2 linked regions of the Kluyveromyces lactis genome follow. The protein of the gene in region 1 interacts with the protein of each later gene in a pairwise test. Links are inferred from orthologs where the notes say so. Each region holds a gene or a part of one and is shown on either strand. Other genes may lie near its edges.

Evidence for each region. The genes of interacting proteins can lie anywhere in the genome.
Region 2: the proteins of MCM6 (region 1) and SPT2 interact in a two-hybrid assay, tested with the Saccharomyces cerevisiae proteins (2 studies listed by BioGRID). The link is inferred for Kluyveromyces lactis from reciprocal best matches to the Saccharomyces cerevisiae genes MCM6 and SPT2.

What each region holds. Positions count from the first base shown.
Region 1 is NC_006042.1:935,309-940,577, forward strand, and holds MCM6 (MCM DNA helicase complex subunit MCM6), read right to left. Parts: upstream 3,322-5,269; coding exon 310-3,321; downstream 1-309. Other genes in the region: KLLA0_F10109g (C2H2-type zinc finger protein), read right to left, coding at 3,887-5,269. UniProt on the Saccharomyces cerevisiae protein: Acts as a component of the MCM2-7 complex (MCM complex) which is the putative replicative helicase essential for 'once per cell cycle' DNA replication initiation and elongation in eukaryotic cells.
Region 2 is NC_006042.1:1,342,189-1,345,800, reverse strand, and holds SPT2 (Spt2p), read right to left. Parts: upstream 1,504-3,612; coding exon 595-1,503; downstream 1-594. Other genes in the region: VTC5 (Vtc5p), read left to right, coding at 1-467; RAD4 (Rad4p), read right to left, coding at 1,734-3,612. UniProt on the Saccharomyces cerevisiae protein: Histone chaperone that stabilizes pre-existing histone tetramers and regulates replication-independent histone exchange on chromatin.

The DNA.
Region 1 (5,269 bases):
ACGCTTTCAGAAAATGTAGTTTTGTACGTTAATTACAAAGCTTAAGGGGCGACGGGATAATTGCTTATGGTTACAACGTGACGAAGAGTGACATTCCTCGTCAAAAGGTGAACTGGTTTCTCTTATACAATTAGCGTAGTTTGCAACGTGATCGGCGTTCTCTTGAGAATTCAAGCAAGGCACAGATGTGAAAGTGAATGTGAAAGTAGAGATGTAAATGTGAATTAAGTGAAATATCTATTTATGGTTACAAATTTCAAAGATAGTGCAAATGGTCAATTTAGTTGAATTAGTCTAGTTAGTAAGTTTTCATTGAGGTGGGTTAGGGGTGATTTCATCTAGAACACTACAGTTCGGATGTATCACATACACTGTCTTGGCATTTGAGGATTCGACATCGGCAGATAGATCGTCGTTTTGACCATGTATTTGCATCAAGACCCTGTCCTTTACCAATCTTTTGATGACTTTGAATGCCAATTTCCTTTCTTGCCAATATTCTGCTTCGGTGTTGATGTCGTTTTCTTTCTGTTGTAAATACCAATCTACTATCTCAGTTTTTGTCATTTCAGGTTCTTCATTCTTTTCTCTGTCAACCACTTTCCGTACAATTAGATTCATCATTTCCACGTATTTATCATATGATATTGCGACTTTATGTGTTGTGTGATGAGCGTTGTCATGAGACTCTACGTCAGGACCACCCCCCGTTTCGGAGTCGGCGTTCAGTGGTTGAGAAGGTGACTGAGATTGTGTATCAAGTGTTTCGCCGAAGTGTTGTGTGGCAGGTATTGTGCCCTCACCCTCCGTACTTTCTTCTGGGGAGTTATCGTCATCTTCAATTTCAACGTCATCAACATCAACACGGATGATACTCTGTCTCAACAAATCGTACGCCTCAGCGACAAAGCTCGGAACAATTTCATCCACGCAATTAGCACGAGCAATAGCTTCACTTAATCTGATTAATGATTCCAGTTGTCTGACAGTTATACGGTACGAAGATTTACTGTACCCCTGCGCATCGTCTTTCCTTAGTTCTGTATATCTTTTGACTAGGTAGTCACGAGCTTCTTTAGTCATTACCGGCTTGAAAGTCTTGGCATAGTTGATATAACGACTCAATTGTTCTGCTGAGAATGGTGGATTAATAGCAGAGTCCCTCTTCATGTGCAAGTCTACGATGTGGGAAGCTAGCTCAGTATCGATCTTCTCATTGCAATCATCAAGAATGACAAAGAATAAATCGAATCTGGACATAATTGGTGCAGACATGTTCAAATTAGATCTTAAAGTCAGTTTCCTATTGTACCTACCGCCGACGGGATTAGCGGCAGCCAAAATTGAAGTTCTGGCATTTAATGTTGCATGAATACCAGCTTTGGCAATCGAAATGGTTTGCTGTTCCATGGCTTCATGAATAGCAACTTGATCTGCGATATCCATCTTGTCAAATTCGTCGATACAACAAACACCATTATCTGCCAACATTAACGCACCAGCTTCAATAGTGAAATCACCACCTTCTTCATCTTTCACCACAGCTGCAGTCAAACCAGCCGCTGAAGATGCTTTACCGGAAGTATAAACGGCTCTTGGAGAGAAGTTACAGACGTATTTTAGGAATTGAGATTTTGAGGTGGACGGATCACCAACGATACAAATATTAATGTCACCTCTCAATTTAATGCCTTCTACAGTAGTTTTATGAACACCGCTAAGCATTTGTAAAAGGATACCTTTCTTAATGGTTTCATGCCCGAAAACTGCTGGTGCAATCGATTTCACCAGTTTGTCATAAATATTCTCATCTTTCACCATCTCTTTTAATTCATTAATTTCGTCAGAATCAAGCCTTGTTAGGAAAATTTCTTGATCAGTTTCTGCCGCCATTTCATAGTTTTGATAGTTTCTCAAGTTAATATAATCAAATTTGGATGTCTTATCGGCGTCCTCCTCATTAATCCTACTACCATTGAAACTGGTACCAACATTTTCAACATGGCATGCCAAAAACGATATTTTGTAAGTTAAATCTCTAACACCTAATGATTTGAGCCCAGAAATACCTGAGTTCAATCCTTCCGTTGTCCGTGAGATACCTCTAGAATCTGGAGTCGAACTTGCTTTAACACCAGGCAAACCAAGTTGACTAACGTCTGGAACGACAATTTCAGTACCAATAAATTTACATCTATCACCTGGTTTAGCTCTTTCGACACAGTCACCACGAAGAATAATATCTAAGGTTCTTGGCATAGAACCGGATGGAATTTCATTGGAATTTTCTTGAATTCTTACCTTTTGCCAATCCAAGAATTTGGACCTGTTCACGTTTAATGACCAGAAAGATTGGTTCTCACATGTTGGATTTGGACAAGAGGTTGGTTCAGTGTACTTGAAAACTTGTTCCACATTGTCAATAACAGCTCGACACAATTCGCATGTAAAACTGGCTTTGTATAATTCTGGTCTAATTTCCGAAGTTCTCGTGACTGTGCCTGAAATAGCCATTAAAGAACCAATCTTATTAGCCCTAATATCTCTGATTCTATGGACAGTTGGGAGATTCAGGAAACTGATTTGCAAAACACGTTCAACCTGATCTGGATTAGTGGCAATGGTAGATGGGGCAGTGCCTCCTGCGGTGGCAGCCTGCGAAGTTGGCAAAGATGAATCTATTCTTTGCGAAGAGCGGTCCTGAGAATTCTCTTGAGATTGAGAAGGAAGTACAGAGTCAGATGTTAATAATAATCCAGGAGCGTACTTCTTCACCACATTTCTTAGCCCAGATAAAAGGAATGGCAAAAATCTGTAATACTGTTGTAAAATAGCAACCGCTAAAGCTCCGTCTTCCACCTCGGCCAAATGTTTATAGTCAACGTATATGGTATTCAATTCGTACCATCTCATATATTCAATTTGGACTCTATAAACCTTCTCCATCTCACCTGTTTCATCATTGAGGGCGGTGAAATTTGACAAGAAATGTTCGAATGCCTCTCTTACAGTTTCACCAGTTTTATCATCAACCTTTTTGATGGCATTCAAGTTTTTCTGCCTGATCCCGGCTAATGGAGTAATTTCTTGTGAATCATTTTCCATAGCCTCTATTTGTGATTCTGAATTAATGCCTTGCCTAGTGTCATCAGTACCGAAATGTCTATTTCCATCTGACACTCCTCTGGAAGAAGATGGAAACTGGGGAGTTCTGTTTCCTAACGACTGATCATCGAATTGTGAACTATCATAAGCACCTACACTAGAGGGAGGCTGGGATGATTGCTGACCATGTTGAAAAGGACTTGATGGTGCCGACATTGTTGCTGATTTTTTCAGCTTGCTCCAACTATGTCCGGTTTTGGATGAGCCGTTCAACCTGGATGCCCTTCACATTGAAGATCATGTTTTAAGTGTTTCAACATGTAAAATCATTTTTTTAATTTCTGAGTTAAGGCGATTCAATATTACTTTTCCTAAAGAGGTATTGCAAGTATCCAAAATTAGTTAACTGAGGTATAACACGAGGAAAACCATTGACTATCGACCATAACATATCGATAACCAATGCAGCAAAGTTCAATTTAATGGAATTTTTTCTTTTTGATTCGATAGGGAGAAGATAAAACATCGGTGAATTGATAATAAAAATTAATGATACGTAGGTAAGAATTCATCTTATTTAAGCGATATAAGTATATGGACGCGAGGATTTTAGAAAGCTGGCCAGGGATAAAATAGCCCCCCTGACAGTCAGTTGCATTAATGGTGAAGTGAAAATGAATCTAAAATCGAAAGAAAAGAAAAAAATGTAACCAGATAAAATAAACCGAAAATGTTAATGTGGACATAGGTCCACTGAAAAGCCGAATGGAAAAAGATTCAATCATTCTTGGTAATTGTAAGTATAATTGAAAAAGTTCATGAATTGCTGAGTTTCTCTGAAGTGCCTCTCACCCAGAGCGTACTCATTCATTTGTCTTTGTAAAGTAGTATTAATCTTAGGTTCATTCGAGTTATTCGTGAATTTCACTTCTTCTTCCATAGACATGCCTGCTTGCTCGATGTCGAGGGGGAGTACTTCCCAATCAGGATTTATTTGTGACTTTTGATCGGTAGATATGAAGTTCATTTCTTTATGGAGAACAGTATGTTCATGGGAGGATTGGGATGAGATAGACCGTACGGTGTCCAAAGCTGCATCTTCAACTGGTGATTTGTTCAATGAGGAGAATTCATCGAATGGTTGTGTACATTTGCGTAAATGAGTAGCTGTATTTTGAGATCCCGAATGAGGTATTAGTTGTGGTTGTCCTGTGAAGGGGACAGAGTTCGAGGGAGCGAGAGATGGGACACCGTTGCCATACACTTGGTTTTCGAAATGACCGTAATTCTGATTGTCGTTATGTTCATTGATATTTCCATTGATATTTCCATTGTAGTTTAGTGGTATTGAAGCCAGAGCAAAAGTGTTATCCAAAGCCAGGTCAGATATGGTTTGTTTGATGGGCGGGGAGGCAGAAGCCGGTTTAGAATACTCACTCGATAACTTCTTCCTATTTTCTGGCATGAAGTTGCTGATAGGCACCTTGGCTTCGCTGATAGTTGCTTGGTTGGAAATGAAACGTGACTGTCCATCAGAGGTCATGATCATTTTCAACTTCCCACACTTTTTACTCTTCTTCAGGTTACCCTTGAAAGTTGGCAAAATAGCTTCACATTCACGATTTTCAATATGATGTTCAATCCATTCATTTGTCGAATCAAAGTGTTTTTTACAACGGCCGCAATGTCCATGAGAGTTCACACGGTCCACATTCTTAACATTATCAGGATAAATGAAATGCCTTGATCTCAAATGGGTCTTATAAGAATCTCTTCTGGAGAAGCCACCTGTCGAGTGACAACGTTTCTCAGAAGGTAGAGATGCATCCCAGAAGGGACAATGATATGCCTTTTCTATGGCATGTTTCTTGATGTGGCGAGTTAAATACCCTCTCATTTTGAATTCTGCATCACAATAATGACACACAAATTTCATATCTGTTTCCTTCTTCTCATCTGACTTATCAGTGGGCACCTGAGACTCACTGTCGGTTGATGAGACAGGAACAATACCACTAGAAACTTCTGGTGTTGAACCTACAGAACTATCTTCTGACTTGATAACATCCACATGATCATTCAATGATGTCTTCGAATCATCATTCGCAGACGTCTCTCCTGTCTCTGGAGTAGCGTCAGTCTTAGGGGTAATATCCTGAGTAGT
Region 2 (3,612 bases), about 410 kb from region 1:
AAGCTAGGAAATCTTTATTAAGAGATGCAGGTAAGTCCTACAACTCAATAGACACTGACACTTCCATACTTACTTCTTCTTCTTCGGAAAGAAACGACGTGAATAAGTTTTGGGAACTCGAAGAACAAAATTCAGAATCAATATATGAGTTCGAGCATGACCAGGTGATATCTTTCTTCTATGTTTCTTCATTGCTAATATCCTGTTTGACTACAGGCGTAACCATTGGTATCATGACATCTTTGTTCAAATCACTCAACGATGATACACAACTAGAAAACGAAACTTCTATTTTGACGATGATATTCATATCATTATCCATATCCTTAATTCTCGGTGCATGGTCTTTGTTATTAATGTTTTCAAGATTCACGTTTGCACCTACTTGGCATTATATTACTGGTGTTGTGATCTTCATTATCATAATCTTTGCAGTATGTTATGGATTTATAGAGTTGATATTGTAAAGCAATTTTATAATAGTACACAAACTTCAAAATGTTGATTTCATTTGGATCTATGATTTCAACTAATGCATTAATTAATTGTATATTAGATGAATAAATGATATATTCAATTCGTACATTGACATGTTTATGAATGGCTTTTCTTCAGTTTCTTTTTCCTTTTTTCGTGTTCCTTTAACCAAGCTTGCTCCCTCTTATCTTCAAGCTTCGCCATTTTTGTAGCTCTTTCCTCTTCTTCAAAGATCTCCATTTCGTTAGCTTCCATATCGTCGTCATCATCTGAATCAAAGTATTTCCTTTTACTACCTTTGTTGAAGATAGACCAAATTTCATCTCTATCGTACGGTTGTGATTTGGAGCCTTGTTCACACTCGTCTAAATCATCATCTTCAATAAAGTCTGAGAGATCTTCGTCATTCTCACTGTCATAATGTTGATCTCCGTGTCTTGCCATAATTTGTTTCTTTTCTTTAAGTTTTAACTTCTTCGCAAGCTTTTCGTTTGGTTGTGCAAAACGGTTGAAAGACTTTACCATCACTTTCGACTTCGGTTCTTTTACAGGTTTAGCATCTTTCGTTGCCGCCTTTGGTTTAGCGGCTTTATCAAATCCGAGTTTCTTCGGGAGCGGCTTCTTGTCTTCCTTTGGTCCTTCCCTAGACTTCTGCTCTGCTCGCTTCATTAATTCATCAAACGATAGTTTCTTGATTGGCTCCCTTTTCGGTACCACGACAGGATACTTTCCGCTTGTGGTATTGACACCAGGTTTTTTCTTATAAATTGGAGCCTCATCCTTCGGCGATGACGCTTTATGCCTGGCCTTAGCAGCAGGTTTAGTCGATGTGGATGATATACCTTGCTTCAACCTACGCGCTTCCTTTAATCTTTGAATAGCCGGGTCAACTTCACGAACGTAATCCTTGGGAAGTAGTTTTTCTTCAGATTGAAGAGATTTAGCTTTATTTTGGTTTGCGGAATGATTCGGTTCATTAATCTTAGTGGTCTGCTTCAACTGCTGTAACTTAGCCAAGAAGCTCATTATTTTGCTATATCTTTGAAGAGAGCAGGAGTACTGGTAGATAGAATATCGATTAATGTATACTCACTGCACCGTAGCAGCGGTTAACAATACAGTCTTGTGCGATGATTGCTTTTGATCCACTGGTACATCAACTTCCATCATGATGCTTATTTTATGTTATGTATTGTTTCCATATTATTACATAGTCATTAGATACGCTACACTAATAGTTCACGTGATCTTGAGATTTATTCTGATTCATATTGAAATGAATCATCGTCATCCGATTGCGATCCAACTTCTTGCAAGAACTGTTCGAACTCATCAGCGATTTCGTTTGGCTCCGTGTTACTTGGTTCAGCGCGGTCTAGAGTTGCTTCACCATAGGTCACAGGTGGATGTTCAACTTGTTCTGTTTCAGATTCTGCATGTTGTAATTCTGGTTCAGGCACGAATCCACCATCCATATTAGAATCAAGAAGGAACCCACCTTGTTCGAAACCGCCCATTTCTGTGTCTTCTCCCGTATATGATTCGTGATCTTCTAGATCGCTATCTCTTTCACCAGAGTAATCTCTGCCGTCTTCATCTGCCACCGCACCATGTTCTTCAACCAATCTACTTTTGATCCTGAGTTTGGTAAGAAGGAGTGACCAGCCGTTCAAAGCCTCAAGCTCTAATTCATGTCTAGCTGCATCATCGTTACATTCTTCGATATTTTCTATTACAGCAACCAATGCGTCGACGTATTCATTCTCGACAACAACGCCGGTGACCTTAGGTTTAACTCTTCGTCCCGATTCGAACTTGAAACCCGTCACTGCTTTTGCAAATGGAACACGTAAGAAGCTTGCAGCTTTAATCGAGTTTGGATTTTCTACGAGACAACACCCTATTGGAATCATCCATGGTTTATAAATGTCAATATTACCGTAGAAATTAGTAGGGATTTTACCATCAGCATCCACTTGCTTAGGAATAACATACTCAGTCTGACCAATGGGGTAAAGCCTCTCTTCATCTTCGTCTTCTTCGACAGGATTCTTTATTTTGTGTGTCAAAAGATGCTTGGCACCCGACTTCAATGCTCTTCCTTGCATGTACCAGTGCCTAGCACTGTAACAAGATATTACATCTTTCCTTGGAAAAACTTTGAGAAGGGAGTTTGATTTATTACGAAGTCGAAGGAAGCCGCACTGCTGAGCACCCGGTTTCAATACCTGGTTTGCTCTCAAATCTTTCTCTAAGACGTAGAACGGATGATTCTTAATGTCTTGTAGGCTGTCTGGGATTCCCTCGTGTTCATTACGCAAATCAAAATATTCATCCTCATAATCATCAATCCTGTTCCTATTACGTTTATTCAAAAACTTTATAATGCTGTTAAACCATTCGTTCAGTTTAGCTTCTCTTGTAATCCTCTTTTTTCGAACTTTATTTTGTAAATGTGCTATGTATCTCCGAGATACATCTTTGCAGCCTTGTTTTCTATCGAAAGCGATGACATATCGCATCATATTGAAGGCTGAATTTATACGACCTATTGGTTCTAGTTTTGATTTATAACGCACTTGTTCAATTATTTCTTGACCAACGATATCGATAGTGATCCATTGTTTCGCAAATTTATCCCATACTTCGCACCAAAATATCGGATACTTTAGGCATTCATTTTCCAAGCTCCAAACAACTCGCTTATTGTAGATCTTACTATCAGTGAAATCGGGTGGTTGAAGGCTATGAATGAGTCTTGCGTTCAATCCACAACCTCTCAGCATGGTGACAAAACCCTGCACACTAATATTGGCTGGTCCACGCATCCTTGTGAAAAACTTTTTGAATGTTTTGAATGTGACACTTTCACACTTGTGCTTCAACACCGAATCCCAATGAACCATATATAAATGATTGAATTCGTACGGTGAAGTTAGTTCTAATTTGAACTTTTTGTTCCAATGTTTCATCAACATACGTAATGCATCGAGCAACTTCCGGGTACTTCTTAATGGCATCTCATCATCCTTTTGGGGATGTAGATTATTGAATATATCGTCAGACACCAGTTTAGCAAGCTTTTTCTGCAACTTCTCGTCGTTACACCATTCGTTCCTCTGATATGAGTGGCAC